Ovis aries: one gene and its partners. The protein of the gene in region 1 binds, or shares a complex with, the protein of each later gene. Links are inferred from orthologs where the notes say so. Each region holds a gene or a part of one and is shown in the gene's direction. Other genes may lie near its edges.

Evidence for each region.
Region 2: the proteins of GNA13 (region 1) and GPR35 are in contact, whole or in part, in a cryo-EM structure (PDB 8H8J), measured with the Homo sapiens proteins. The link is inferred for Ovis aries from reciprocal best matches to the Homo sapiens genes GNA13 and GPR35. Residues at the interface, in NP_006563.2 of Homo sapiens: Lys46, Arg47, Leu48, Val49, Lys214, Asn215, Val216, Phe218, Arg331, Gln337, Gln338, Lys340, Pro341, Leu342, Tyr343, Phe359, Arg360, Asp361, Lys363, Asp364, Ile366, Leu367, His368, Asn370, Leu371, Lys372, Gln373, Leu374, Met375, Leu376; in NP_005292.2 of Homo sapiens: Phe45, Gln51, Thr53, Thr55, Met59, Asp113, Arg114, Ala117, Val118, Pro121, Leu122, Arg123, Arg125, Arg128, Ala197, Leu198, Arg201, Pro202, Thr204, Asp205, Gly207, Gln208, Ala211, Ala215, Met218, Val219, Ala280, Lys281, Glu282.
Region 3: the proteins of GNA13 (region 1) and GPR4 are in contact, whole or in part, in a cryo-EM structure (PDB 9JHP), measured with the Homo sapiens proteins. The link is inferred for Ovis aries from reciprocal best matches to the Homo sapiens genes GNA13 and GPR4. Residues at the interface, in NP_006563.2 of Homo sapiens: Arg47, Pro341, Tyr343, Phe359, Lys363, Asp364, Ile366, Leu367, His368, Asn370, Leu371, Lys372, Gln373, Leu374, Met375, Leu376, Gln377; in NP_005273.1 of Homo sapiens: Gln45, Asn50, Arg115, Ala118, Val119, Ala120, Pro122, Leu123, Ala126, Ile204, Val208, Ser211, Val212, Ser213, Thr214, Glu218, Lys221, Ile222, Leu225, Asn290, Glu291, Gly292, Ala293.
Region 4: the proteins of GNA13 (region 1) and ADGRD1 are in contact, whole or in part, in a cryo-EM structure (PDB 9V0U), measured with the Homo sapiens proteins. The link is inferred for Ovis aries from reciprocal best matches to the Homo sapiens genes GNA13 and ADGRD1. Residues at the interface, in NP_006563.2 of Homo sapiens: Val49, Val216, Phe218, Phe359, Val362, Lys363, Asp364, Ile366, Leu367, His368, Asn370, Leu371, Gln373, Leu374, Met375; in NP_942122.2 of Homo sapiens: Asn599, Arg601, Leu657, Met660, Val661, Ile662, Val664, Phe665, Ser667, Val737, Ile738, Ile741, Ala761, Val764, Asn810.
Region 5: the proteins of GNA13 (region 1) and S1PR2 are in contact, whole or in part, in a cryo-EM structure (PDB 7T6B), measured with the Homo sapiens proteins. The link is inferred for Ovis aries from reciprocal best matches to the Homo sapiens genes GNA13 and S1PR2. Residues at the interface, in NP_006563.2 of Homo sapiens: Arg47, Val216, Phe359, Lys363, Asp364, Ile366, Leu367, His368, Asp369, Asn370, Leu371, Gln373, Leu374, Met375, Leu376, Gln377; in NP_004221.3 of Homo sapiens: Ser66, Met68, Tyr69, Leu72, Arg130, Ala133, Ile134, Lys136, Val137, Lys138, Leu139, Tyr140, Tyr209, Ile212, Val216, Ser219, Gln227, Thr228, Leu231, Leu232, Val235, Tyr288.

Annotation. Positions count from the first base shown.
Region 1 is NC_056064.1:61,128,906-61,134,679, reverse strand, and holds the start of GNA13 (guanine nucleotide-binding protein subunit alpha-13), read left to right. Parts: upstream 1-1,795; 5' UTR 1,796-2,025; coding exon 2,026-2,308; intron 2,309-4,699; coding exon 4,700-4,926; intron 4,927-5,774. UniProt on the Homo sapiens protein: Guanine nucleotide-binding proteins (G proteins) are involved as modulators or transducers in various transmembrane signaling systems.
Region 2 is NC_056054.1:1,009,069-1,014,842, reverse strand, and holds the start of GPR35 (G-protein coupled receptor 35), read left to right. Parts: upstream 1-1,888; 5' UTR 1,889-3,813; intron 3,814-5,774. Other genes in the region: CAPN10 (calpain-10), read left to right, coding at 77-106. UniProt on the Homo sapiens protein: G-protein coupled receptor that binds to several ligands including the tryptophan metabolite kynurenic acid (KYNA), lysophosphatidic acid (LPA) or 5-hydroxyindoleacetic acid (5-HIAA) with high affinity, leading to rapid and transient activation of numerous intracellular signaling pathways.
Region 3 is NC_056067.1:52,983,324-52,989,345, reverse strand, and holds the start of GPR4 (G-protein coupled receptor 4), read left to right. Parts: upstream 1-2,710; 5' UTR 2,711-2,797; intron 2,798-6,022. UniProt on the Homo sapiens protein: Proton-sensing G-protein coupled receptor activated by extracellular pH, which is required to monitor pH changes and generate adaptive reactions. Activated by an optimal pH of 6.8-7.2.
Region 4 is NC_056070.1:46,263,914-46,269,955, reverse strand, and holds the start of ADGRD1 (adhesion G-protein coupled receptor D1), read left to right. Parts: upstream 1-2,139; 5' UTR 2,140-2,735; coding exon 2,736-2,801; intron 2,802-2,890; coding exon 2,891-2,927; intron 2,928-4,048; exon of another isoform or gene 4,049-4,288; intron 4,289-6,042. UniProt on the Homo sapiens protein: Adhesion G-protein coupled receptor (aGPCR) for androgen hormone 5alpha-dihydrotestosterone (5alpha-DHT), also named 17beta-hydroxy-5alpha-androstan-3-one, the most potent hormone among androgens. Also activated by methenolone drug.
Region 5 is NC_056058.1:12,607,946-12,613,782, reverse strand, and holds the start of S1PR2 (sphingosine 1-phosphate receptor 2), read left to right. Parts: upstream 1-2,136; 5' UTR 2,137-2,268; intron 2,269-5,837. UniProt on the Homo sapiens protein: Receptor for the lysosphingolipid sphingosine 1-phosphate (S1P). S1P is a bioactive lysophospholipid that elicits diverse physiological effects on most types of cells and tissues.

The DNA of each region.
Region 1 (5,774 bases):
AATGGGGCGCAGGACCCCGTGTGCCCACTAGCTGTAGCACACGGGGCTCAGTTGCTCTGCGGCACGTGGGATCTTCCCAGACCAGGAACTGAACCCTGTGGCCCCTGCATCAGCAGGATTCTTATCTACTATACCACCAGCTCATTTTAACGCTAGCTCTTTCAAGGTGGCTTGACAACCAGACAGAAGCTATTGGACGACTGCAGTGTGACCCCAGGCAGGGCCCAAAGAGGTCTCTTTTTTTTTTCTGAAGCGCTGAGGCGGGCTGCAGGGTTTGATGAGTCAAGCTTGTTCAACGCGGTTACAGGCAGGGCTCTGGACACCTTCCTCTGCTGTTCTACATGTCACAGCATGAACTGGCAGGGCGGGAAAGCCTTCCTGCCTGAAGAGGGATCCTTGGTGCTTCAATTACACTGTGAGCACTCCCGGAAAAGGAAGAAAAAGGATGCCAACTATCTAACTGATAGGTTCCTCTCTTCCTGTTTTTGTGGCATTCAGATTAGCATTCGGAGTCCAAGCAGACACACTGCTTGGGGGCCAGCGCTATAGCCTGTCCTGGGCAGAGGTCTGTCCTTTCAAGGGTGGAGAACCAAGCTTCCCAAACAGCAGCTGAAGCTGCAGAGAGCTCTTCCAACCTGGGTGGACTTTTACTATCTATTTTGCCTAGAGGCACGGCCTAGTGATACTGGAGGGGAACCTACCCTACTTTGTGTAGGGCAGCTTGTCCACCCGACGGGCTTGGCCAGGACGGCAGGAGATAACCCTACCACAGGTATTGCTTACTGCAGCCAATTTACTGAGTCATGGGGCTCCTCCGCCATTAACCCAATCCGGTCAGCAAACTGATTAGCACTTATTTTTTGTCTAAACATGTTCTTGAGCCTCTCGGGGCACTGACTTTGCTACCTCGTTGCCTGACACACACACAAGCTTCTGAGCCCCGGAAGCCCCAGGCAAGGCTCTTGGAAGGAGCTGGACTGTCACAGAGACCAGCCCAGAGGGCTTTTTCCACTTGAAACTAGGGCGCGGAGAGAGAAGTTGGCTTCCGGGGTCCTTGCGAGGGGTCCCGCTGCCAGCCCAGGTGTCACTTGTGGCCCCGCAGCCCTGCAGGTGTCCGGGCCCGAGTCTTGGCCGGTCACATCCTCTGCAGTCCGGCAGGAAACCTAACCTCCGCCGGCTCCGGTCCTCGGTCTGTCTGCTTATCTGCTTCCTCTGGGGAACAGCCGCGTCGGTGTCCGGTGCGGGGGGATTTTCGGGCTGACCTCACCCGTGCAGACGTGGGCGTCAGCCCGCGTGCGGACCGCGTCCGGGAGGCATCCACAGCCCGTCTCGGTGCCTCCCCGGCCCGTCCTCCCCAAGCAGCGTCTTGGCAGGGTCTGGGCTGGGTGGGGGGGGGGTCACTCCGGTTCCGATCCCGGGCTCGGGAGGGCGGGGTGTCAAGGGACCCACTGGAAGAAAATGCACCGAAACCGCAAACGCCCGCTCTCTGTTTGAACAACTTCGGAGCCAAGGGCTTCGGCGGCCGGTGGCGGGCACTGGGAGCAAAGGGCAGACCTGGGGGCCGCGCTCCGGCCCCCTGGATGCCCGGAAGTAGCCGCGCGCCCCGGGGTGGGTGCGGCTCCCTCCAGGGAAGCAGGAGGCGCAGCCGAGGAGCGGGCCACGTGACCGCCGCGCCCCACCCGGGCGCCCCGCCCCGCCCCGCGCGCGCGCCCGGCGGAGCTCGCGGGCTCGCGAGAGAACGCGAGTCTGCGGGCGCGGCGTGCGTGCGCGTCCCCGCCGGGCGGCGGGCGCGCGCACGCCCCGGGGCCGCCGCCCCGCCGGGCCCGCCCTCCCGCCCTCCCTCCGCGGCGCGCCCGGCCCGCCCTGCCCGGCCCGCCCTGCGAGTCAGACCGCCGGCTCCCGCCCTCCGCCGGCGCGCCCGGGCCGCCGCGGCGCCCCCCCGCCCCGCCCTCGAGCCGCCGAGCCGGAGCCGGAGCCGCGCGCCGAGCGGCCGGAGAAGCCGCAGGGCCCCGCCGAGGCGGCAAGATGGCGGACTTCCTGCCGTCGCGGTCCGTGCTGTCCGTGTGCTTCCCGGGCTGCGTGCTGACGAGCGGCGAGGCCGAGCAGCAGCGCAAGTCCAAGGAGATCGACAAGTGCCTGTCGCGGGAGAAGACCTACGTGAAGCGCCTGGTGAAGATCCTGCTGCTGGGCGCGGGCGAGAGCGGCAAGTCCACTTTTCTCAAGCAGATGCGCATCATCCACGGGCAGGACTTCGACCAGCGCGCGCGCGAGGAGTTCCGCCCCACCATCTACAGCAACGTGATCAAAGGTGGGGGGCCGGGGAGCGGGGGGCCGCGGCGGCCGGGGGGCCCGGGCGGCGGCGCCGGGCACCGCCCTCCTCTCCGGAGCCCCCGGCCGGGCGCGCGGGAAGGGGGCGCGGCCCGGGCCCCCCCGCCACCCCGCCTCTGGCCTCGGCCGCCGCCGGAGGGAGGCACCCCGGGGTGCAGGCTGGCCTCTCCCCCGGGCGAGCCAGCCCACCCCGCGCCCGGGCGCTGCCCGCCCGGCCTCGCGCCCCGGGTGGCGGGTGGCCGAGTCACATGGGGTCGGGGCTACTCCCAGCTCCCGGGCCGCGGAGCTCCGGAACCTTGTGCCCGAGACTCTGGTCAAGGGCGAAGGGTGACAGGCTCCTGGCCCGTTGGGGGCACGGATGTGAAACTCGAGGGTGTCCTGTTTGCTCTGCTGCCGTCAGGAAAGCGCACCATGCAGTCGGCCTAAAAAAGTTTTAGCATCAGTGGTTTTTCGCCCCAGTGTCACGGTCGGGCAGGATGTGTGCCTGTCATCACCGAGCACCTTGCACCCTCCTCCTGGTGCTGACTGCGGTGGGGGGAGCGTCTCCTGCTTAAACGGGGTTGTGTGTGGGTACAGAGGTCTAGGGCCTGAGACCGTGCAGGCTGAGTCAATGAATCAGTGTCGGCTTGGGTCATAGGTTCTGCTGCTGTTCGTGGGTATTTTTAAAACTAGAGTTGATCTTTGTTCTCAAGTGAAAAACGCACAGGAATTTTAGTTCTGGGCTTTCAAACAAATGGGGGAGATTTTACTTTTGTCATTTGAGCTATAATTAGCACTCTTTTTAGTGTCCAGCTGTTTTCTACTTTATAAAAGGCATTTTGGCAGAATTCAGATACAGCGCCTGATTCTTCAGGTGCCTGAGGGTGCTCTCTGGCGTCTGGATAGCAGTTTATCTAAGGGTTGGTAATGTCAAGCCTTTCCAAGCAGCGTTTTTTTTAAGGGGGGATTTTGTTGAGGAAGTACTTAAGTTACTCTTTCGAGTCACTTTTTTTTTTTCCCCCCTCCCAGGATGGAGTGGAGGAAAACTGCTTGGGGTGCGGGGAATGGAGAGGGGGAGCTTTGTGGGGGTAACGATGAGGGAGGGGCAGGACATCAGGAGCTCACAGACCACAGCCAGCCCTGGGAGTTCTGCAGTAAGCTGTAAAAAGAGGCTGACTTTATCCTTTCTTCAGGTTTAGTACAAAATTAATCTAAGGTCTCTCTCAAGGCCCAAGACTCTCTGTAGTCAGCCCTTAACCGAGGATACCTTTGTATCTGATGCAGCTGATCGTAAGGGGTTCTGTTAATGAGTCAGTTCAGTTCAGTTCAGTTGCTCAGTCGTGTCCAACTCTTTGCGACCCCATGAATCCCCACACGCCAGGCCTCCCTGTCCATCACCAACTCCTGGAGTTCACTCAGACTCGCGTCCATCGAGTCAGTGATGCCATCCAGCCATCTCATCCTCTGTCGCCCCCTCTCCTCCTGCCCCCAACCCCTCCCAGCATGAGACCAGCTGTTGACTGAGAGCTAGGTAGATACCTGGCTCTTGTTTAACACCTGGTTCCTCTTGTACACTGGCTCCTAAGTGTGACCTACTTCGAGTGCTGATGAGATGAAGTCACTAGCCGTCTGCGTTTTCTGAGTTGATGTGATCAGAAAATTGACAGCCAAACGGTTTTTCAGTCATCGAAACAAATGACCTGACAGTCACGTGACTGTCAGCAGGGACTAAAGGTGACAGTGTGGTGTTAGGAATAATGGGTTTGGAATAGCCTCTGGGAGTTGAAATCTCTGCTTCCACATCTTTTGTGCGGTTGGTCTTCCTCCTTTTAGGGAAGCCTCACGCCACCCTGAGCCTCACCCCGATTGGAAGCTTGCGGGGGGAGAAGTGTCTGAGCTCTGAGCGAGGTCCTGGAAGCCGTGGGTTGGGCTGGGCAGGGTGCTCAGGGACCGGGAGAACACAGGGCGCTGAGTCTCCTCTTGGCGTCTCATAAAAGTCTCTGAGAGACTCAGAGCCTTGGTTGCAGATCTTCAGAGCCTGGACGTCAGGTCATGCCATGGAGTTTCTTCTTCCTTTGCTGGTCTTGGTTGTCTTGCGACTCCCTTTGCCCAGGAATTATTTTATTAATTAGAACACGTTAAAATCCTACAAAAGAAGCACTTGTGTTAATTGTGTTTGCTTTTCAAGGTTCTGATTTTATGACTGAACAATTGTGAGTTTTAATTTTTCTTTTTTTTGCGCTCTGAGAAGTTACTTCTGTTTTGATGTCGGTCTCCGTGTTTTGGAGCCGCTGGGCCTAGAGTACTCAAGAGGTTTAAGGAAAGAATACGAGATCGGATCTCTGAGAGTGTCTAATGACTCCCATCACACTTTCTTTTTTCTTAAACAAAGGTATGAGGGTGCTGGTAGATGCCCGAGAGAAACTCCACATTCCTTGGGGGGATAACTCAAACCAGCTCAATGGAGACAAGCTGATGGCATTCGATACCCGGACGCCCCTGACCGCCCAGGGAATTGTGGAAACGCAAGTTTTCTTACAGTACCTTCCTGCTATAAGAGCATTATGGGCAGACAGTGGCATACAGAATGCCTACGACCGGCGTCGCGAGTTTCAGCTGGTAAGAGATTTTTTTTTTAATGTTGTGGTTTTATTTTAACAGCATTTATTACCATCTGATTGTAACACACCTTTTTCACTGCCTTCCACAATATGATGTATGTATCCAAAATTTTAGCCTCAGAAATGTGGATAGTTTTCTAGATGAGCTTGATAAACTAACCAAGGTAAAAATAAGGCAGACCCCCAATGGGTTTGATGAAGCTGTTATATTGAGTAATTAGTTGGTCATTTTTCTTTTTCCAGGGTAAGATCATAATGAGCTTCTCAGGCATTTTCATCTAATTTTTTCTCCTTTTAAAAATAATTTCATCTCAGTTATAGCAGCAGTATTGATCTTTCTAAAAACTGACTTTTTATTTTTGAATTAAGAGTTCAGTAACTTAATTGTTCAAGTATGCTCTTTAGCCATTAGAGGTATTTAATTCACAATTCATCAGTAGAGGTTAAAATTCTTAATGTTTAACAGTCAATGAGCTTTTTATAGATTTGCATGCTATGCTTTTTAAAAGCTTCTAAGCACATTTTACAAAATGTTCCTCCTTAAAATAACATGATGTTTTTTGTAATTCTCTTTTTCACGGGAAACAGTTAGAATTTATTTTGTATTTATTATTTCTACTTTGTTTTACACAAGACTGTAAAAGTTTGTAGCTATTACACAGCATTGAAGAGAGGGTGGAAGATAAGGTTCTGATCTAGTTTAAAGGTAAAAAATAATAATCGAAATAAATTACAAAGCACTTGATAAAAAAAAAATCTGATTGTGAATGTGTTGATTGTATTTGGGGTTTTATTTGCCAAAGACCAGAAAGGTCCCAGGAATGATAGCCATCTTTCCTGTATGCA
Region 2 (5,774 bases), on another chromosome or scaffold:
CGCAGTAGGTGAGGAGGCTGGTCGTCTCCCGCCAGCCGGGGCAGCGCCTCCCAGCCCTCGCGCCCTCCATCCGCAGGCCTCCTTCATGGCGGTGATGAAAGCCTGAGCGGCTGATCCTGTGTGCGGGCTCTGGTGACCCACGGCGGCCGGCCTGCGCGTGTCCCAGGAGCAGTAGCCCTGCGGTCTAGCAGGAGCCGCGGGAAGAGCCCAGGCGGGCACCAGGGACCTGGTGGCTGAGCCCCCCGGAATTCTCCACGTGGTCTCTCCACTGCCCGGGAAACAGCCATACAGCGGACGGAGCGCGTCGGGACACACCTTGTTTGAACTATTTGTTAGAAACGTTTTTAGGATCCAGTTTATAAATAAACACGAGCACCGAGCAGTGTCCAGCGGGTTCAGGTGGCCGGCAGGAGCAGGCGGGGGCTCACACCAGCCACTGATACTCGGGGGGTGATGCGGAGCCGGGCAGGGCTGCTGAGGGGAGGAGGTAGTGGGTGGTGAGAAGGTGGGCGCAGGGCAGGTCTTGGGCGGGAGCTGGAGGGTTTCCATCCACACAGGTCCCCCCCGCCGACCGTGTCCAGTCTCCTGTCTCCCGGCCAGTGGCGCTCAGGGGTGGACGCTGCCCAGTGCCCAGTGGCCGTGTCGGAGCTGCAGGCTGCAGCCCTCTGCTCGTGACTCGGCGGGGGTGTCCCTGCAGGCCTCAACCCCGGGCCCCCAAACCCCTAACCCCTTTGGAGTGGGGGCCCTGACCTTGGCCTGGCATGTCTCCTGTCCCCACGCGTCCCCCGACTCCGCACCGCGTTGTCACCGTGGTCGGGGTGCCTGCCCTGTTGGGCTCCTTGTCCCGAGTTACAACGTCATTTCCTGGGAGGGGCTGCAGGGCCTCTGGTCCTGGCGGGAGGTCTTCCCACCCGTTCCTGACTTGCACCCTCGAGGCCGCACCACTAGCCTGCGGCTCCCTGGGAGCAGGCTGCATGCTCTGGAAACCCCGATTCTGAGTCAGGGGGAGATAGGGTGGGACCACTGCCCCTGAGGGGACCATCCCGCAGCTTCAGCGCCTCGAGGGGGTCCCCGTCCCCACCCTCCCCAAGGTGCGGTCTGTGATTTGTCGTCTGGGGGGCGGGGCAGAGGCGTCAGTCTCACCCTTGGCCTTCCTGCCTGCCCTCCAACCTCAGAGACGGAGCTGGATGTCTGCACGAGGCCATCCCAGTTTCACGCTTGGAGACCAGGAAGTGACCCCACCGCACACCGTGAGCAGTCTTGGCAGGGGTCCATGGTCAGCGGCTCGCTGTGTCCCGCTGCAGCTCGGGGGCAGTGTCAGCTGCAGGCCTGAGTGCCTGCGGCCTGGCCATCCCCACCCCTCCCTGAGCACAGCCACAGAGCGAGGGTCTGCGGGCCTGGTGGTGGCAGCAGGTGGGGAGTCTGTCGTGCACACTCATTGGGGGGGGCAGCCTTCCTCTGGGGCCCGACCCCCTCTGCAAGTCAGCAGGCCCTGGCCTGCTCCCGCCCTGCTCTGGGGCTGCTCCCCTCGAGGCCAGCGGCGGCCTCACCCCTGGCCCCAGCCTCCTGGCCCATCCCCTGCAGCTGCTCCTGTTCCTGCATCTCAAACCCACTGTCCCCCAGCCCCTCCCCGATCCACCCGGTCAAACGGCGCCAGGACAGGACGAGACCCCCCCATGCCAGGACCACCACCTCCCTGCCCCCAGGGCCAGTGGGTGACCCAGCTCCAGACCACACGGTATCACCTCTTCTCAGACCACAGAGGCTGACGCTGAGACAAGTTTGGGGTGCAGGATGTTTACAAGGGAAGATCTGACGTGTACACCCGGGGGCCCAGGTGGGGCTGAAACGCAGGTCTCCCGGGCACGTGTTAACCTCAGGCATCCTCAGAAGAAGGAGCAGAGCTTCATGTGAGCACACAGAAGTGGCCGCCTGCAAGCCAGGATGGGGCCTTCGCCGGGAGCCAGACTGGCCTGGGCCTCGACCACGGACGTCCAGCTCCCAGAGTTGGAGACGTCAGCGTCTGTGGTTAAGCCCCAGGCCTGCGGGGTTTTCTCTTGGTCCGGCATCGGCTGAGAGCTTCCCTGGGGCGCAACTTCTCTCTAAGCCTCCACAGGGTGTGCTGTTTACAGCTGCCGCAGCCTCAAAGAAGAACTCGTCCTGAGTCAGCGGGGGAGAGGCCCAGGGGGTGGGGGGCAGGGAACCTCTCCAGACCCGCGGGTTCCCCCAGCCTCAGAGGCCGCTGCGGTCGGCCAGCTCACCCCTGCCCGACGGCCCCGCCCGGATGACCAGCGTCACTGCGAGCCAGCCCCTGCTGCACGCTGCTCCCTCGGGCCAGCCCCGGCTGCCTGTCTCCCCCCCCCCCCCGGCCGTCGGGGGCCTCTGGGGGCGCCCTGGAGCCAGCCACCGCGTCTCAGCTCTGTCATTTAAGAGACTTAGCAGCAGTCCCTTCCCCACTTGGTCCTGGGAGGCTGGTGACTTCAGTGAGAACAGAGAGCTGGGGCTTCAGGCAGGGGCCCTGCGGATCAGCCCGCTTCCAAAAAGCCTGAAAAGGAAGATGCTGCCCACCGCCCATCACCATCAGCCCTTCACCCCCAGGCAAGGCGCCAGAACCCCAGAAGGAGGGTGGAACGCTGCCAACTTTTTTCCAGGAGCTGGCAGGGTGGCCCATGGTTGCCCTTAGTTCCACTCGGGCCGTCCGGGTCCCACGGCAGGGTCGGGTCAAGGGCAGGACCACAGCCACCGCAGATGGAAAGGCAGCCAGTGCCTGGGGCAGCTGGTACCAGCCTTGTGCCCTGAGCCAGAGGAAGCAGTGTCTGGGCATGGAGAGGCAGGGAGACGTCGGGGGCAGTCTCCGTGCCCCTCACACCAGGCCCCCTCCCGCCGTCAGCCCCTGGGCCTGCCCCAGCTGTTGTGCCATCCCTTCTCAAGAGGCACCGGCCCGCTGAGCTGAGGGGCCTTTCCCCAGGCCAGCCTCCGTGCCGGGCAGGCCGGTTCCAGTCGGGGCAGCCACCTCCTAGCCGAGCCGCCAGAGAGCAGTTCATGTTCTCTGGGCTCCAGGGTCCTTGCTGAAAGTGTGGGCAGGCTCTGGCCCGTCCCGTGTCCAGACTCTTCCCCTTTGCTTTGCCCTGGAGTCCTTGGTCTGGATGTGTCTGCTGGGGTAGCTCCAGGCCTGCTGACGAGGGACAGGGACCTGCTGCCCGAGGTCCTCACCGTCTGAACCCATCCCCTCCTGCCCAGCTGGAGGTCCTGATGCATTAGCATTCTCAGGCCCGTCTAACGTCACATCTGATTCCCGCCCCCAGGCCCAGCGCAGAGTTCCCGGGCAGAACGGGGCTGCAGAAGGCAGGACCCCAGGCTCTGGGAGGGCCTGGGCCCCGGGCAGGCCCACTGCTGCCCCCGCCCTCCACCACACTGACTGACAGAGAGCCAGGCCCCGCTCTGGGCTCCACGGGAGCCGCGCCCAGCTGAGGGCACTGCACGGAGCCCAGGGCTGTGGCCAGGGCTGGGGCCCACCTGGGGTGCCCGTTCTGTGGGCATGCAGGTGGGTGAAGACCGCCTCCCTCCTGGGCACGTCTCCTGGCTGACCCAGGTGGGTGGGTCTAGGCACCTCCTTTCCCGGCTTTCCCAGCAGACTTTGCCCCGAATGCCTGCCTGAGTTTCCTTGTGGTCTTCACTTCCTGCTCCGGACTCAGTGGGCAGCACCTCCTCCGTGGGAGCCGAGTCGGCCTGTCTCGACCCTGGACCTCCTCTCTCCCCGCCCTCCCTTCCTCCCCAGGCGAGGTCAGCCTTGGGGGAGGCAGAGCTCCTAGGGTGAGTATCAAGACCCTAGCTCCCCGAAAGCAGGTGTCGGGGCAGGACGTCCTGGGCAGGAGGCAAGACGGGGCCAGCCAGGCCAGGGCTGAGGCTCTCAGACGCTCCAGGCCCTTTTTCCTGTCTGTCTGTCTCTCTCTCTCTCTCCATTCACAAGCATGCCCTGCTCAGTGCCCCATGTCTGCCTCATCTGGTTCTACTGAATTTCTTTTTCTTCCCTAATATTCAACAGATTCATCCTAGCTTTTACTGCCTTTTGAAATGAAGGGAGAAGTCACTTTGTTCCCGAGGATCCTCTGGGCTTTTATGACCCCAACACTCGGCCTTGGACATGGTTGCTCCATCAGACGCAGTCTTTTCTAGCTTTGAGGACAAGGTTTGTAGGCAGGCAGGGCCCGCCAGTTCGCGGAGTGCTCAGCTCTGCAGCCCCGGGTCCTATCCCTCCCCTCCCAGGGCCCTCTCCTCACAGGGGAGCCAGAGGCGGCCGTGGGTTCTGGCCGCAGCCCGGGGCGGGTCTGGTCTGTGCAGTGACCTTCAGGCCGTTCCCCTGATTCGCAGCAGGTGCAGGCTGCTGGGCCTGGACAGCGCGGCCCTGAGAATCGCGTGGGAGCCGGCATGGTCGGGGTCCCTCAGACACTGGCTGTGGAGGTTTGCTCAGGAGCACGCCTGTGCACAATGTCCCAACTCCCCCATCCCCTGTACAAAGGGAGGCCAGGGCCCAGCCTCAGGTGCCTGGGACTCCTGGTCCTTCACAAGCCACCCAGGAGGTGAGGCTGCTCGCGAGGCTCCAGCACTGGGTTGGGCAGACCCCTGAGGGTCCCCTGCAGGGTCCGGAGCCTGGGCAGGAGTGACGCTGGGGCACTGACGCATGGCATGTGTATGTCCTGTGGGCTCAGCCCTCAGCCCTAGCCCCGTGGAGGGGACCCGCTGGCATCAGCACAGCTCTGTCCACCACCTTGCTTCCCTGACCCGTTCATTCTGAAGCCGCTCTGTGAGCTCGTGAGGATGAGACCTTGGGCAGGTCCAGGCAGGCAGGACGGTGTGCGCAAGGTCACCAGAGGCCTGGCAGTGAGGTGACAGATGACAGGGGTCTCGCAAGGTCACCAGAAAGGCTTGACAGTGATCTAACAGATGACACAGGGTCTGCACACAGGTCACCCAGAGAGGCCTGGCGGCGGGGTGACAGACGACGCGGGGGTGGGGGGTGGGATGGCGGCGGGGCGGGGGTGGTCTTCGACTTGCCTGGGGTAGCCAGCTGCAGGGCAGGGCTGGGAGGCACCCTCAGTGCCTGGAGCTCTCCATGCCTGCGGGGAGTGGCCTGGGGCGCATGGAGAGAAGGGTGGAGGTGAGGCCTCAGGCTGAGGGAGGAGCTTGCTCTCCAGTTTTGAGCAGGGCCAGGTGTGTGCCTGTTTGACAGGCACAGGTGTTTGTCTGGTTGAAGCCTCAGGAAGGACTGGAGGGAGGGCCTGGCCAGAAGGCTGCTACATTCTTCCAAGGGAGACAGCAGGGCATCCTGCTGGCAGCCGGCGAGGGGTGAGGGTCGAGGGAGCGGGCTGAGCTGCGGTTCCTCGGAAGCAAAGCTCACACCACGACACTTGCTCAATCAGTCTGGCTGTGCAGACGGCCACAGGGAGCGCGGGCCCCTCCACCCAGGAGCACGGTGCGGCTCTTCGTTTCTCAGATCTTTATTTCTCTCAAAAATGGTTTGTGGTTTTGAGCATGCTGGTTTCCATTCCTACTTTACTGGCAGTTTCTATCATAAATGAGTGTGGAGTTTTGTAGAATGATTTTTTTCCTTCTATTGAGAGGATTATAATGGCACCCCACTCCAGTACTCCTGCCTGGAAAACCTCATGGACGGAGGAGCCTGGTAGGCTGCAGTCCGTGGGGTCGTTAAGAGTCGGATAGGACTGAGCATCTGCACTTTCACTTTTCACTTTCATGCACTGGAGAAGGAACCC
Region 3 (6,022 bases), on another chromosome or scaffold:
AGTCGGACACGACTGAGCGACTGAATTGAACTGAACTGAGTGCAGGTGATTCTCCACAGTGCACCCAAGGGGTCACTCTCAGCCTTTCTCCTCCAGCTATGGGTACTGTGAGAGTGCCCTGTGTGGACTCCATGCATGAGAGTCCATTGGTTGGGTTCTTCCCGTTACAAGCGCTGACAGGAAATCTGAAGGTCAGAAGTGGGGGAGGAGGTTGGAGTATTTATTTTCCAGGCCTCTCTCTGCATCCCTGCAGTTTTGCCTGTGGCTGTGTTCTCTGTCTAGAGCTATAGCTCCTCTTGTGGCTCAGACGGTAAAGAACCTGCCTGCAGTGTGGGAGACCTGGATTCAGTCTCTGAGTCAGGAAAATCCCCCAGAGAAGAGAATGGCAATCCCATGGACAGAGGAGTCTGCCAGGTTACAGCCCACAGGGTGGCAAAGAGTTGGTGCTACTGAAGCTATTCAGTGCACAAGCTCTCTGAATGGCTACCTGTTTCCTGCCAGGGTCCTAACTGAATCACATTATAAACTTAGGGTGAGTCCATGAGAGAAAGGGACCCTCACCCATCAGGGCATCTCAGAGTTTCTCTTTAGAAGGACCTTGGGGTGGCCAAGGAGCTGATGGGAGGACTTGTCTGAAAGCTTTACATGGGGTTATTTGTGGAGAGGGGCTAAATTCTTCATGACACTTTCATTGGTATGTCTCTCAGCCTGTCCCCTTGAGGGAGGGTGGAAGGAAAAAGCTTTTATTCCTGTGTGCATTGCAGGTCACTTGGGTATTTGGTTAAGTCTTACTTTCTATTTGCCTCCAGAGCCCCGAGAGGAAAGGAGTATTTTTTTTTTAGAACTGTTTCATTTCATTTCTATGAAGTTCTAGAACAGGCAACACTCATTTCCAGTAAAAAAAAAAAAAAAAAAAAAAAAAGAAAAAGGCATGGAGTGTCTCTGGGGGTAAAGTAGAGAGTGAGTGCCCTGGAAGGGAGCAAAAAACCCAAACAAAACAGTGGTCGCTGGTGATGGAAATGTTTATGTTTTAATTTGGACAACTTATTGGGCTTCTCCCTTAAGATCCCGGCATTTTTATTCTCAAAATAAACAGGGATTTCCCCGGTGGTCCAGTTGTTAAAAATCATCCTTCCAGTGCAGGGGAAGCAGGTTCCATGCCTGGTCAGGGAACTAGGATCCCACGTGCCATGAGGCAACCAAGTCAGCGCACCTCAACTAGAGAAGCCCTCATGCCACAGTGGAGACCCAGAGCAGCCAAAATAGTAATTATCATTGTGTGTGTGTGTGTGTGTGAGAGAGAGAGAGAGAGAGTGTGTGTGCGTGTGTGTGTGTGCTCACACATGCATGCTCAGTCATGTCTGAGTCTGCGACCCCATGGGCTGTAGCCTGCCAGCCTCCCCTGTCCATGGAATTTTCCAGGCAAGAATACCGGAGTGAGTTACTATTTCCTTCTGCAGGGGATCTTCCCCACCCAGGGATCAAACCCTTGTCTCTTGCATCTCTGGCATTGGCAGATGGGTTCTTTACCAGCTGAGCCACTGAGGAAGCCCCAATAAATATTATAATTATAATAAAAGAATAATAAATAAACAAAAAAGAATTTTCAAGCCCAATAGCTGTCACTCCCCCCCCCTCCCCCGCAACCCACACTGTGCCAGGTCTTAGTTGCGAATTATGGGATCTAGTTCCCTGACCAGAGATCGAACCCAGGCTCCCTGCATTGGGAGCTCAGAGTCTTAGCCGCTGGACCACCAAGGAAGTTCTAGCTGTCACTTTTTCTAAAAAAAAAATTTAGAGAATTTTGAAATTATTTTTTATTAGTTGTCACTTTTGAGTGTTACATCCCAGGTCTGTCCAAAGTGCTTTGCCTAAGAATGGATCAGTTTATGAAGGACATGATGATAACATAAAAATCAGCAAATATTTTTGCAGCACTTAACATTCATGTATTTACTCCTTGAAAGCAACGTGTATTGCACATGTATCTGTAGTAAAGTAACCCAACAGAAAAATGACACTCCTCCTAGTGGGAAGGCAGATATTTAGAAAAACAACAACGAAAAAAGTGGAATACACAGACTGTTAGGACCCTTTCTATGGGGAAAAGCAAATAAAACAGGGAGAAAGGAGGTCGTGGGGGGGGGGGAGTCATGTTTTACAGACTTTATAGTATGACGTCCTCTTGATAAAAGGACTATGAAAGACCACATGATCAGAAGAGGAAACGGAGGCACACAGAGGTCACCAGCCTAAGTCTGGCGAAGAGGCACGGCTGGAGCTGGAAAACCCAAGAGAGATTCCTTCCAGGGGTGGCCCTGACCATGGGCATGGGGACCTAACAGACCCCTCATTCTCTCCGTTGGGGAAGTGGGAGTGCAATGACCAAAAAGTTAATGAATGACTTAGATCTGGGGTCTCCCTAAACCCCCGTCCCCCACCTCCCCATAGCTTAAGGCTTGATCTAGTTGGAGTGCGGGGGTTGGAGGGAGGGTAAGCAAAGGAATTTATGAGATGGAGGCTTCCAGGCTGGGGACGTTGAAGGACTCGGGGGTGTTTCACCAGCAGGTGAGGTTTCTCCAGAGCTGGAAGGCTTTAGTGGGGTGAAGGGGTTAAGGGGGAGCGACAATGGAGGGGTTAACGGGGGCGGGCCCGGTCGGGGCGGGGCGGGGCCTCGGCTGGTGGCTCTGGCCCGGGGCCGGGAGGAGTCACCGCCGGGTCCCTGCGCCGCCGCGGAGCCCGGATCCCCCAGCCGCAGGGAGAGGCGCCGCCCGCCCCGTCCAGCCGCCACGCGCAGGTAGGCGCCGGTTCCTCCCGGGTCCGTGCAGGTCCCGCGGCCGCCAGCGACCGCTCCTCCCCGCGCGCGTCGCGGGCTCTGCGTCCCCGCGTCCGTCCGCTGCCTCAGTCTCCCGCGTGGCCTCGGTCCCCGCCCCTCTCTGGGGCTGGCTCTCCTTGCGTCTCCGCGACTGACTTTGTCTCTGGGTCTGTCTCCGTCTCTCCGTCGGTCTCTGATGTCTCTCTGGATCTGCGGTCCCGCTCCCTCTGCCCGTGTCTCTCCTTAGCCATCTCGATGTCTCTGTGTCGATATCTTTTATCTCTGCCCCTCCGTCTCTTCCACTCCGTTTGCCTGTATCCCTGGGTCTTGATGAACTCTGTCTATACGGATCTCTCTGCCTCCGTCTCCCCGTTTCTGGGCATCTCTTTGCCTTTTTTCTTCCTGTCTCGCTATCTCTCTGTATGACTCTGTCTCTGTCTCCACGTATCTTAGACTCGGTTCTGGCAACTTCACTCCGTCGCCATCCTTCTCCGACTTTCCTCTGGGCTGAGGGTCTTCCTGGGAGTCGGGTAGAGGGCAATAGGATTACCACCTGGGGCAGGTGGATTTAGTACCGCTGTGACCTGGGCTCCCCCTTAACAGAGTCACCCCGCTGCTCTGGAGGTCGCACCCACCCCACCCTCCAATTTCAGGAATTCCTGGCTGGGGGAGGGGGTAAACTTCCTCCCCAACTTCCTCCAGTCCAGGATTTGGCTGGGTCACCCATTAACTCCTTCCTGTCTCGGCTTCATCCCCGCCCCTCGCCCGCCCCCCCCCCCGCCCCCCTTCAACCACCCTGAAGAACAGCTCTGGAATTTCTGTGAGGCATCGACTGTGGGATGAATGTCATATATACTCAGATGGGATGAGAGCTGGGGGATTTTCTGGAGGGCAGAGATGAAGATGATGGGGGCCACACCCCTCATCACCCCCGACCAGGGCCGTCCACCAGCCACACTTCTCCTGAACTCACCAGTGTGTCCCTGCACGCTCAGTTGTCTTCAACTCTGCGACCCCGTGGACTGTCCCCGCCCGCCAGGCTCCACTGTTCATGGGATTTTCCAGGCAAGAATACTGGAGTGGGTTGCCATTTTCTTCTCCAGGAGATCCTCCCCTCCAGGGATCAAACCCACATCTGCTTCTCCTGCACTGCAGGCAGATTCTTTACCGATAAACCACTGGGGAAGAATTCACCAAGGGCCCCCCAACTCTGTCTCTGTGGATGAGCTTGACTTCAGGTTTGGGGTGAGGATGGGGTGGTTGTCCTCTCTGGGCCGGGTTTCAGTAGGAGAAAATGAGAGAGATTGATATGGTGTTTTGTTTTGTTTTGTTTTTTTTGAGGGGGTGGGGGAGCTCCAAAATCATAGCATCAAGAAGTTTTGAATGTGAACTCTTTTTTTAAATTAATTTTTAAATTAGAGTATCATCAGTTTTGAATGTGAAGTCTTTGCATGAAAGGACCCAAGTATGTGAGAATGATCCAAAAGGAGGATTGGGAGAGCTCAAACCTTCAAGTTCAAGGTCTTGGGGTATTTGAATCCTTCAGTCCAAAAAGATGGGCTTTGGAATATTGGCAGTTTTCAGTGTTCGCAGTCGAGAGCTCAAAAGTGCTATCAGAGCCAGCTAGACCAAACCCCCCATTTCAGAGATGGGGAAACTGAGGCCCAAGTGTAGAAGTCCCCAAGGTGAGTCAGTTTCAGGCTGGTTTGGGACTCCGGTTCCACTGAAGCCCAAATCCAAAGTACTGGCTTCTTTTGCTGCCACAACCTCAGATTAAAGTGGGGAAGGAGGTCTTCGCAGGGAAGAGGGAAGAATGCCAGGGTGAGTGTGAATGGCTGGAACCCAGGAGGGAGCATTTTTAGAAGCAGAGGAGAGAAAATATTTCTAAAGCCACGGTGGTGGAGAGGGAGAGGGGATAAGAGGCGGTTGGAGTGGAAGGGGTGGAATTTCAGAAAAGGAGGGAAGAGAAGGGAAGTGAGGAGAAGGGGCAGAGATTAACTCCCGCCTGACTCTGTCTCCTGACCCTCCCCATGAAGCCCACTGCTCCTGCAGGACAGGGCCTATAATTTGGTTTGTGTCTAGACAAATAATAACTCAGCCTCAGCCAGTATGTGATCCAGTGGGATGGGATGAGACAAAGTTTCTGGGCCAGGTATAGAGAGGCAGCCTGGGCTCTTAGTGTCCCCACCAGGAGGAGAGAATTTAGGGGCCAGGTAAATGTGGTGACTACCCACCCCCCGCCAAAATTGAATTCTTAGTATTTTACAATTTTGCACAATTTTAGAACTTCAGGCTGCTGGAATGTTAAAAGGAAAAAAAAAAAAAAAAAAACACAAAACCAGAAGAGGTAAAAAGGAAGTGGGGTTCACCATATCTGTAAAAAAGAAAGGGGAAATGCAGATTCGTGTTTGCTGGGCAAAGATAATGATCACTGAGAGTTTAATAATAGATTATGAAAGTTGTACAATTTTTTTTTTTTAATCATAGAGCATTCTAACAATAGAACTTGAGAATCCTGGAATGTGAATTTCCTGGGATATTGGAAACCTAGAAGGGTAGGGGTGTGGAAAGCCGCCATAATAATAATAATAGAATGGAAGGAAGGTAAAGTTCAAAAAGGTTATAATAATAGAACAGTAAACCATGGCCTGGACTAACAATAGAATCTGAGGATCTGAGAGCCTTGGGAATCTAGAACATCAGAGGAGTAGAGTCAAGGACCCTCCTTGGTGTCCCTTCTGGGTGGTGTGGGGGACATATGTGGGGGGATGGGGATACCTTCGGTAGAAATGGGGAAACTGAGGCCAGTGGAGTGGTCACGGTGGCCTGACTGTCCTCGGTTCTCGCCAGCCAGCCGCCAGGGCGCCAGGTGGGGAGCGAGGCTCTGTGATCACATTTCGTTCCTCTAATGAGCAGACCGACCGGAGCTGACTGGTCCCCGGGGGGCTGACAGGGGAGCTGGAGCCTTCAGAGGAGGGAAGTGGGGAGTGAGAGAGGTGACCTGGAGGCTTCTAGGACAAGGCTGGTGAGTGACAGCTGTGTGGGGGCTGTATTACCTCTCCCTCTTGCTCTTTCAACCCCCTACCCCCAAGCCTTCAGCCTTGCTGGACTGAGAAGTTGCTCCTGGGGCCTGGCTTGAGTAGCTGAGACTGCACAAAGTGGGGTCAGGGGTCTGACAGTCCTTTCTGTCACCCCACTATCGCTCCA
Region 4 (6,042 bases), on another chromosome or scaffold:
GAAGAGATGTGAATGAACACAAACCTGCTATCTGGGATTGAGATGAAAAGCAAGCCCATGGGGAGTGAGGGCAGGTTCCGCTGACTTTGATTTCTACCCAGCCTTTATTGCTGCTGTTGTACTGAGATGCCTCCTGTTATCTGATGGTCATTAAAAAAAAAATGTTTATTGGAGTATAGTTGGCTCACAATGTTGTGTTGATTTCTGCTGTACTGTAAAGTAAATCAGTTGTACATATACACATATCCACTCTTCTTTAGATTCTTTCCCCATGTAGGTCATCACAGAGTATTGAGTAGAGTTCCTTGTGCTATACAGTAGGTCCTTATTGGTTATCTGTTTTATATACAGTAGTGGATATACGTCAGTCCCAGTCTCCCAATTCATCCCCCCGCCTTTCTACCCAGTAACCATAAGGTTGTTGTCTACATCTGTCACTCTATTTTCGTTTTGTAAATACGTTCATTTGTACCATTTTTTTAGGTTCCACATGTAAGTAATATCATGTGATATATGTCTGACTTTCTTCACTCAGTATCACAATCTCTGGGTTGATGGTGATTTTTTTTTTTTTTTTTGATGGTGATTTTTATGGTTAAGAAAAGAACACAGCCAGCGTGGTTCAGTCTCAGTGATGGGACAGGTCCATTTAATCCGCAGTCTGTCTAATGTTTCGTAAATTAAGACGTGGACTAAGGAAAGTTTGCATTGGCTCCGCCTCCTCTTGCATCTTTCTCTTTCTTCCAGAGGGAGGCAGTGGGAGGGAGAGAAAGCAGATGAAATGGAGAGAGAAAGGCTGTAAGTTTCCGCTGAGGCCCTTGGCCTAGGCTACAGGATAAAGGTGCAGTTACGACAGTGGAATCTGCCATTTTTTTCAAGTGCAAAGAGATGGAGAAACGTGCTCAGGAATTTTCTGGAAGCCTGCTGCCGCTGTGCAGGGAAGTTCAGGCTGTCAGATCATCTGAGAGGTTGTGGGCTACAGGCGCAAGTTAAAAATAATCACTTCACAGTTTTGACATCACTTTTTTTGGTTCTCCCCCATGGAGACTGGAGGTCATCTTCTTATCCTCTTTAGGAAGTACTTGGACTCTGTTCCCATTTAAAGTCAGGACGAAGGAGCTAATAATATTAGTTAACATTTAATGAGTGTTATTTTCTACTTTATAATAATAATCACAGCTAACATTTATTGAGTGATATGTTTTGTTTTTTTTTTTTTTTTTGCTTGCAAAAAACAGTGAGCATTTATGGAGTGCTACGTACTTCCCAAGCACTGCTTTGAAAGCCTTGTATGCATCATCTCATTTCTTGTTACAGCTCTTTGGAGTTGAAACTACTACCTCCATTTTACAGATGAGGAATTTGAAACAGAGAGGTTCAGTAGCTTGCCTAAGGACACGCAGCTAGTTAAATGTTGGAGAGGGTGCAGGGAGGTAAGTTAATCAAGTGTGTGTTAGTTAATCAAGTGTGTGTTAATCAAGTGTGTGTTAGTTAATCAAGTGTGTGTTAGTTAGGGGCATCCCTGATGGCTCAGACAGTAAGCAATCTGCCTGCAGCGCATGAGACACTGGCTGGTGTTTGTGTGGGTTAACTGTGTTACTTAACGGTGTGTGTGTGTGGGGGGGACATGTATGCAACATAGATGAAAATTTTAGTTTCTAGTAAAGTTAGATGAGGCTGGCTAAGGGTCCCTGGATGCTGTGGCTGTGGGGGAGATGTGGGGTTTGGTGTAATGGCCCAGTGCACCTTGTAAACAGTTTCATCATCTCTGAAAAGGTTAAAGAGAAAAGTGGCCAGCATCCTGTGGAGGGCATGTGCTGGGGAATGGGTGTGGGTGTTTCTTTTTTTTTTTTTTTTTCCTATCCCTAGATCACCTTACTTTTTTCTTTGGGCAAAGAAGACTCAGCTCTAAACAGAGTTTATTGTCTGTTGTACGTTTTGTATTTATTAATATTTACACTGACTTTGAAGGTGTTAAGGGAAGGCAGCTAAGGCATGTCCACACCTTGCTCTGTCTGCTCTGCCTCAGAACCGCAGATCCTGAAAATAATTCCCACTTCTTAACAGACCGGTGTTAGGACCCAGGAAGGATCCAGCAGCCGTGGGATATAAACAGAGGAGCGGAGCTGAACAAAGTTTGAGGAGAGAGCCTTACATCACTCACTTTCTCCACCCCGAGCGCCGCCGCGCCGCCGCCGAGCTGGGGGACAGACGGAGGTGTAAGCCTGAGTCACACCAGAACTTAGTAGCGACGCGCTGGCCCGAAAACCCCGGGAGCTCCAGACGCGGTTCCTCCCACTTCCAGGAAAAAGGGCAATGTCCAACTCCGGACCTGAATGGAGACAAATGACGGCTCTTGACAGAAAAAGAAAACCGTGAGGGACCCCCGCTTGCCCCCTGAGCCTCGCCACTGCAGTCCCAGCCCAGGATCGCTTCTCAGGAGTTTGGATCGGAAGCTGTTTCTCCTCCCCTCATCCCAGGGCCGGTTGGTCGCTCCAATGTGTTTATTGATCACCAAAGACTCTCAAGTTTGGAGACAGGCAAGAAACACCTATTAACTCTCCACGACTCTGCCTTCACGCTGCAGTTCACAAACTCTAGCTAAACAGATGGTGTTCTTCTTTCTGGAAACTGTGACAATGTCCCTTTCCCAAAGAAGGGAAAGTTAAAGGCAATTCTTTGTCACAGACCCTCAGGAATTCCACTTGGATCATATTTTCGCCTCTGAAAAAACCATGAAGAAGCTGCTGCCTCTTTGCTGCTGGCATTCCTGGCTGTTGTTATTTTATTGTGATTTCCAGGTAATGTCCCCAGGCGGTGCTCGCCAAGACGTGAACAGATTTCTGCTGGGAGGTTCCTTGTGTCTTACAGTGTGATGTTTTGTGTGCAGGTGCGTGGGGCCCATGCCAGGTCACAAGTGCATCCAGGTAAGGCAGCTTCCCTCCTCTTCTGCTCACTACCTGTTCTCCCTGCCCAGTCCGGGGTCTGGAGGCAGTTTGCTTGTCTCTGAGGCTGTTGGGGAAGGAGCCCTTCTTGGGCTCCGCTGGCCCCACCAGCTGTCCTGACACCTTGTCCCCTGGGTCACTCATCATCCTCCACCTCTGACTTGGAGAAGCAGGTCTCTCTGTGCCCCGATCCTCTCGCTTTGGGGGCATCTGAACACTTGTGATTCAGAAAATGGGATGTTTGCAGGTGAAGCATCTTCTGTCCTTGACTCAGGTTGTGCGTCTCCAGCGCAGATTCACTTGAGCTGCCTTAGAGCAGCTTTTGTCCCCATCCTTTTGTCCCTGCCCTCTTTTGTCCTCATCTCTCCGATGGGAGCTTGACTGCTCCAGCCCCTCCGATGAAACCCCTCGCCCACCCCCGCTTTCCCTTTGCCATCGTGAGTCCTGTCTGGAGGCATCACCGTGAAGCTTTCCTTGGGGAGGACGGAAGAAGCGAGAAACTTTTCCTTGCTCCTCCCCAGAGAAGGAGGCCTGTGGGACCATGGTGGAAGTGCACTTACTGGCCCTTGTTCCCATTTGCTGCTTGGCTGGTACACGCACGGTGGAGGGGACCTCGCACTAACATCCCCAAATCTTTGCCTGGGAGCCATGAGAGCAACACTGACCTGGGGGTGAGCGTGCCTTTGGCCGTGATTATGTCTGGAGCAGCCCTGCTGCCTCCACAACCCGCCAGAGATGGTGCACGCAGCATCCCCACGGTGTGAATCCAGGTCCCAGGAGATGGACCCCGGTCTGGTGGGAGCACCAGCGTGGTGCTGGGTGAAGGTGGACGTGGGGTGGGGGTCTGTCCCTGTTGGAGTGATGCGGCCTTCACTGTGGGCGCTGGGGCATCCTATCATCTCCCTGTCTTTACCTGCAGGTCTCACAGGGCTTGCCGCTTCTTCTTTTTCTTCTTCTTCTTCTTCTTTTTTTTTACAAAAGTTTATCCTTAAATTTGTAATAGGTCCCAAGACAACACTTCCTCCTAGCTATAGGTGGCAACAGACATTATGGCAGGGAGTCCAGATGTTTAAGCAGAAATGGGACTAAGGATCGTCATTGCCTCAGGCACCAGGGCCAGCAGATTTTTCGCCAGATTTCTTTATTCCACCTGTGGCCAGGGGCATTTCCCTGGCAGCCTTCGCTTTTAGTTCCTTGGCTTTCTTCTGCCCCTCCTCCTTTTCGGCTTGGATGTCTTATCTTCCTCATCCGTTCCTGGGCTTCTTCTGGGGCTACTTCAGGGGCTTCTTCTTGGCACCTTTGCAGCCCGACATGGCACCTGCCGCCCCTTCCCCAGACCCTTCCAGGTTGTGCTGCTGTTTGTTTTTATATGCACAGTCACGTTCAGTCTTCTGCTGAAAATGACGTGAAGGTGGTAACTTTTCGCCGGCTCCCCTTCCTTGGCCAAAATGCTGAACGACTTGGGAATAAATAAATCATCTAGCGTCGCACTAGAGGGAGGCTGTGTGAGCCCTACTGCTAACCCATGCCTCATAGCACACGCTGATTTCCCGGAGGGAAATGAGGGGAGGGGTCTGGCCAGGAATTCACGCAGAGTGAACAAAGCGGTCCTGAGACCCCAGCCCCGTCAGGGAGGAAAGAGAGCTGTAGGGAGGTTCCCACATTGTGCCTTTGGCCACATCTCCCCACATCCACTCGCATCCTAGGCTCTCAGCTTCAAGGAGCGGCTTGAACCTGGCCTTGGTTTCATAGAGAGACTGTTCCTCTCACATCCTAATTTAGTGTAGATGTTTTTCTGTTGGTCAACTAACTACCTTAGAGAAATCATACTAATACTGACAATCACAGACATGTTACTAAAAAGAAGCAATAGCCAATGAAACCTGGATGGGGAGAGTTCAAGTTCAAAAACCCAGATTTCTGACACATACATGTACGTACACACACACACACACACACACACACACACACACACACACACCAGGCCTGGTTTTAAATAACTGGGATATGGTACAAACAGAACAGTCTTTGCACTCAAGTCACAAAGAGTCTGATAGAGGAGACAGACAACAAATATACTAACAAACAAAAACTTTCAAATTATAGTGTGAGTGCCATGGGAAGACAAACAAGGCGGTTGGTAGAAAGAGTGGATGGTGGGTGATAAAAGGTGATCAGGGCAGGCCTCTCAGAGGGTGTGCCCTGTGGACCGAGGCTTGAAAGACAGAGCTGGTTATGCACGGCAAGAAAGCAAGCAGACTTCTGGGCAGGGGTGACAGCAGGGCGTCCTGCTGTGGAATGAACTCGGTGTGTCACGGGCCAAACAGGAGGGGACCGTGGTTGGCACGGGATTGGCAGGGACCAGTTTTCCTCTGTGTGGTGTAGATTTCTGTCCAGTGAAGTCAGTGGAACCCTGGAGACATATTCCACACATTCAAGGGGTGAGGGCTTCCCTCTCCTGACACAGAGAGTAAGTAACAGGGAAAGGATGGAATAGAAAAATCTGGAAGAAAAACTGGAAAGGAAAAATGAAAGCTTTTATTAACTTTCTTTCTGAATATTGATACCCCTCCCTCTCTGCCCCTCTCACCAAACTGGATCAACAAAACATTAAGTATGGATGAGAAATTATTCCTGAAGAACTGATTTTTTTAAAATGTATTTTATTGGCATAGAGTTGATTTGCCATGTCATGTTAGTTTCTGCCGTACTTGAAAGTGATTCAGTTATACATACGTATATGTGTCTATATATATATTTTTTATCATACTCTTTTCCATTATGGTTTATCACGGGATATTGAGTATAGTTTCCTATGGATCTTGTTGTTTATCCATTGTGTATGTAATAGGTTGCATGTACTAACCCCCAACTCCCAATCCATCCCTTCCCTCACTCCCCCCGCCTTGACAATCACAAGTCTGATCTCTGTGTCTGTGACTCTGTTTCATAGGTAAGTTCACGTGTGTCTGATTTTAGATTCCACATGTAAGTGATATCATATGGTATTTGTCTTTCTCTGTCTGACTTACTTCATTTAGCATGAGAGTCTCTTGTTGCATCCATGTTGCTGCAAATGCCATTATTTTGCTCTTTT
Region 5 (5,837 bases), on another chromosome or scaffold:
AGACCTGGGTTCCCTCCCTGGGTTGGGAAGAACCCCTGGAGGAGGGCATGGCAACCCACTCCAGTATTCAGTAATCCACAAAGAGACGCTACGAAGTGACTAAGCACACATCTCGGTACAAGCAGTCTAACTTCCAGTTTAATTGATCAATTAATTTTTTTGACCGCATGGCTTGTTGGAGTCTTAGTTTCCTGAGCAGAGACTGAACCTGGGCCATGGCAGTGAAAGCCCCAAGTCCTAACCACTGGACTGCCTTTGAATTCCCTCAGCGTAACTTATTGTTGAAATAGGCCAAGTATGTACATGTTACAAAAGCCAAAAGATACAAAAGCACTCACAGAGTGAAAGTTATGTCCCTCCCATGCCCTGTCCCCTATCTTTCAGTTCCTCTCCCAGAAAATTTATCAGTTTCTTCTCTCTGTAATACTTTAGATATTCTGAGCAAGTATGTGTGCATGCTAAGTCGCTTCAGTCGTATTCAACTCTTTGTGACCCTATGGACTGTAGCCCGCCAGGCTCCTCTGTCCATGGGATTCTCCAGGCAAGAATACTGGTGTGGGTTGCCATTTCCTCCTCCAGAGGAAACTTCCTGACCCAGGGATTGAACCCAAGTCTCCAGCAGCTGCTGCGTTGCACGAAAATTCTTTACCACTGAGCCAGTAGGGAAGCCCTGAGCAAGTATAGTAGAACATCAACTTGGGACAGGGAGTTTTATCTGTTTTGTTTCCTGATATATCTCCAGCCTTTTAGAATGGTGTCTGGCACATGCAGGTGCTTACTGTATTGTGGTAAGTAAACACATAAGCAGTTGATGTATTCATTTCCACAAATAGCGCCCTTCTGAACATAAGTTCCACGAAGGGAAGGACTTTTTCCCTTTTCGGTTCATTGCTATGCCTGTGCTTGGGATCTTGGTCACTCAGTCATGTTTGACTCTTTGCAACCCCATGGAATATAACCTGCCAGGCTCCCTCGTCCATGGAATTTTTCCAGGCAAGACTATGGGAATGGGTTGCCATTTCCAAAGGAGTGAGGGACATATTGTCTAGTCCCTGATTTCACACACACACATCGGTAAATGCAGGTGGGCTTCATCTCTGCAGCCAGGCACACAGAGATGCCCAGGAAAAGCTCAATGAGAAAAAAATGGGAAACTAAAGAACTGGCTAGGACTTCCCTGGCGGTCCAGTGGTTAAAACTCTGTGCTTCCACTGCAGGGGGGATGGGGTTTGATCCCTGGTTGGGGAATTAAGATCCCGCATGGCTCAGCCAAAAAAGACTGGGACTCAACTTGAAAAGCAAGAATTAGCTTGGGCCTGCTGGTCGACCACAAGGAGGGTACTCCACCGACGGAGGCAGTGGAGGCTGCTGAGTGCTCCCAGTCTTCTAGGGCAAAGGGACCAGGGCCTCAATTCTGGGGCCTTATCAAGGCAGAAACCAATCCATTCTTTGTGGCAGGACCTAGAACATGGTCGGTTTCCCTGGCTCAGTGGTAAAGCATCCACCCGTCAGTGGGTCCTGGGTCGGGAAGAGCCCCTGGAGAAGGAAATCGCTACCCACTCCAGTATTCTTGTTTGGGAAATCAAAATCCCAAGGAGGAGCCCGGGGGCTACAGTCCTTGGGGTTGCAAGAGTCGGACACCACCTAGCGCCTAAACCACCGCCACCGCCTAGCACATAATAGGAACTTGCTTATTTGTTGGATGAACACATAGTGGGCGCTTAATGCCTGTTTGTTGTGTTGACCTTAGTAGGTGCTTCGTGGCTCCTTGCTGAATAAGTAAGGAAATTCCTTGCCCTCCTGCAATTCCAGGATCCCAGGCAGGGGCCAAGAGTATATCTGCAATCCAAGACAGTTATCTCAGGTTGAGGCCACCTGGGCAGGAGCGACTGGACAGTACGGGGCTGCGTGACGTCATGCGCTGGCCGGTTCTCACGGGTGGGGGCTGGGAGGGGGCAGGGCTGGAGGTGGGGGTGCGGACAAAGGGACCCTGCGCGCCTCCCCCACGCCCGCCCTCGCGCGCGCCCCGCTGAGCTGATCACATCTGGAATTCATTGCTGCTGCCGCCGGCCGGAAAGGAGGCGGAGACAGGGCGGGGCGAGTGGGGGCCAAGGCGGCTCTTCCCTCGGTGCCCCTGAGTCCCCAGTCCCCAGCCCCGGGACGCAGTGGAGCCCGGCGGGCAGTCCCAGCCCCTGCCGCGGCCGTCCCGGGGAACACAGGCGCCAAAGCCCCTCCGGCCCGGGCAAGGAGTCGGGTCGGCCTAGCCAGGTGAGCGTGCGTGGCGAGGGGGAGGCAGAAAGGGCGGGCCCCGGGCCCCGGAGGTCTCGGATCAGAGCTAGGAAAGCCCGCCAGGGGTCGGGGGCTCCCTGGGCGCGCATGCACTGCCCGTCCTCCGGCTGCACCCAGGGAGTGGTCATCGTGCGCCCTCTCCAAGATCCTAGGAGGCCCCATTGCCTTGGCCGCGAACCCCCAGACTGAGTTCGCCGCCTTCTCCAGCGGCAGGAAGTTGGCCGGGAGGAGAAGGCGGAATCCAAGCGCTTTCGGTCGGAGACTGGGAGGCAGGATGGCGTGCACCCCAGACCAGGGGTTTGGGGACTGTGTATGGGGGAGGGGAGGACGCCCCTCTTTGCTGACAACGGCTGGACGCGGGCGAAAGGTGCTGGCCGTCGCAGTACAGCCAAGCCAAGGGGCGGGGCCCCCGAGGAGGACAGATGCCCACCTCCTGCACTTCTGATCCTCTGCCTCAGTTTCCCTGAGTAGTTCATCTCTTCCAGTCCTCCCTCCCGCCCCCCGTGGGGTCGTGGCTTTGTTCTGGAAGGAAAGTGAACCTGAGACTGCGTGGCTTCGGCGCCTCTTCTTTCCCCTGGGGCCTGGGGATGGGGCGCTGGCGCGGGCACGCGTGGCGCGGACGCCGCGCGGTTCTGGGCCCAGACAAACGTGGGAACCTCGCCCACTTCTTCTGGCACGAATTGACTCACCGGGGATTTCCATCCCTTCACCAGACTCTTCCCTAGTCAGACACTCCAGGCGCCACGCGCTGAGCCCACGGTGCCCCGCGTGGCGCGACACGGGCGCGGCACTCGCGGCGCAGCTGTCGCTGACCCTCTCCCCGCCTCTCCCCAGTCCTCTAGGAAGATCGAGGCGGGGCACCGGGCTGGACGCACAGGCGTCCCCCACCCCCACTTGGAGACTTGGGGGTCCCCTGCTTGTGGCTGTCGCGGAAGAAAGGAGGCGCGGCCCCAGAGGCAGCCAGTGTGGATACCGTGCATTCCACCGCCAGATAAGGAGGCCGAGACTGCGGCCCGAGGGCGGGGGCGGGTTGTGCCGTGTCTCCAAGGAGACTCTGGGCTTCGCCTGGTGGGGGTGGCCTGCCAGCGGACCAGGGGTGTCTCCCGCGTCCCTTTACCGTTGTCTGAGCCTGGGCTGAGTTTAGGAGCCTCCACCCTCGGGGGCCCTCGTTCCCTTGTTCATTCATTCATCAGTTCGTCCATCTATCCATTCATCCATCCATCCCACACAATTTCTGAGTGCTTTCTAAGTATGCCAGGCATTCTTCCAGGGACTGAAGGATTTAGTTGCTGGCCTCTGACACACATTCAACCATGGAAGCTGACAAAAAACAAGAAATACAATGATAATTTCTGAAATTGGCAAGTGCTGTGAATATAATAAAAGATGCTGTGATAGGAGGGGCCTAGGGAAGGTGACTAGGATAGCCTAGTGATTAGAGGCCACTAAAACAGAAACCTGAAAGATAGGAAGGCCGTGGCAGGTGAAGAAATAGCAGAGTTAAAGCTCTGAGGTGGGCATGGGGCTGAACCGGGGAGAGGCCAGTGTGGTTCAGTGGAATGGCTCTGGGGGAGAGTGGGAGGAGGGGAGGTGGGCGGGGGCCACCTTGGATACTGGGGAACCATGGAAGAGTTTGGAGGTGAGGAGTGACATATTGAAGCTATAAATTTAAAAGCTCCCCCTGGCTGCTGCTTGGAGAATGGCAGTATAGGGGGGAATGGATGCATGCACGTGAGCTTGGTCGTGTCTGACTCTGTGATCCCATGGACTGTAGCCCGCCAGGGATTTCCTCTGTCCTTGGGATTTCCTAGGCAAGTATACTGGAGTGGATTGCCTTTTCTCCCTCCAGGGGATCTTCCCGACCCAGGGATTGAAATGCAGGCAGATTCTTTACCACCGAGCCACCTGGAAAATAGAGGGAAACTGAGCCCAGGGGTTTATCCCAGGGCAAGGGGCATGGGACCTGTGAATGCCCAGAGGAACAGTAACCACAGGGCATGCCTCCATAGAACTTGCGGGAGGGGCTCCTGGAAGCCACTGAGACTTCCTCCTGCCTTCCTCTCTTTTAATCTCCCCCTGAACAGTCTTGGTGTGTTTCACTTTCCTTCCCTCCAAACCCCATCGCTTGTCCCTCTTGCTTCAGGCCTGGCCATTCCCCAGTGCTGAGCCTAGTGACCTCTTACTGAGCATCTGGGAGGTGACTGCCTTGGTGAAGGTGAAGAGGACTCAGGCCCTGCGCTAGCCACGCCGGGAGCCTGATGCAGGGAGGGGAAGCAGGCCAGGCCTGTATTTGCCTCAGGGTGACTGTGCCCGCTCCAGCCTCCAGACCCTGGTTCCTCTTTCTGGGAATCGCCTTAGTGGAGAAGAAAGACGCATTCGTCTTCTCTAACTAACCACCCCTCCTTCTGAGGCTATAAGAAGTGAGGGTAGTCTCCCAAGGAAGAAGACGGCATTTTAGTCAGTCCCTGGGGTATGAGGACTGAAACCACTTCTTATTTATCTAGGAATCGGCCATAAATCTTTCTCTGGGCCGCCAGACAGGAGAGGGGTTTGAGGGGCGGTGCAGGGGGCACACCCTGGGCTTCTAGCCCACCAGCAAGGGTGCTTCCCAGACCTGCCACGGGCCCTCAATTCTCAATTATGATCCCCAGGGGGGGGCCAGTAGGCCAGGGCAGCCCGAGGGTGACTGGTACGGGTGACCCAGCGGTCAGGCTGTGGTTCAGACTCTCCCCGGGGACATCCACACAGTCTTAATGTCCTCGAGACGAAATGAACTGCAACCGCCTGGAAAGGACCCTCTCAGTAGCGCAAGCAATAGAGCGCCCCCACCTGGGCCCCCAATCAAATGTCGAGGATGCAAAGCTCAGGCCAATAGGCCTGAGTTGCTCAATACTCTGGGATTGAAAATGAACCAATCAGAGCGCGGGGCTGTTTCTGGCCTGTCCGTCGGTCTGGTAAGGCCCAAGACCTGGACCAAGCCCGCTACAATGGGCAGAGGGCATTGGGGCGCCTGGGCCCCGACCGGCAGGGGAACAAGAGGCCTCTGTGTGGCGATCTGGGCGGAGCGACAGTCCCTGGGGATGCGCACAAGCCTTTCTCTGTTCCCAAACTAGGACGGATGTTCTTTTGCCCAGGGGGAGCAGCTGCCTCTATCAGGCCGGGGGCCAGGGCGCCCCTCCGAGGGGGTGTCCGAGACTGAGATGGCTGGGCGACCCCGGAAGCCCCTCATCCTTCCCAGGCTCACTGAGAACCGGCCTAACCAGCCTTTTCTGGAACTGGTGCTCCTGGCATGCCCATGGTCCTTGCAAGGCATGTTTCCAGGGACTTGGGGAGGGCTGTTCCCGCACCCCGCCCCCCCCATTAACTAACTACTGGTCTGGAGCTTCCTCCTGGCCCCCGTGAAAGGCAGACTCTACACCAGTTCCTCTGAGACCACCTCCTGGCCCCCGCCCCAATTCCCAAGCTGGGGGAAGGCCATGGTATTGGCCTCTAACCCTCTCTGCCTACGCGCTGCTTCCAGCCCCCTCCCCCCACAGCTCAGTTTTCCT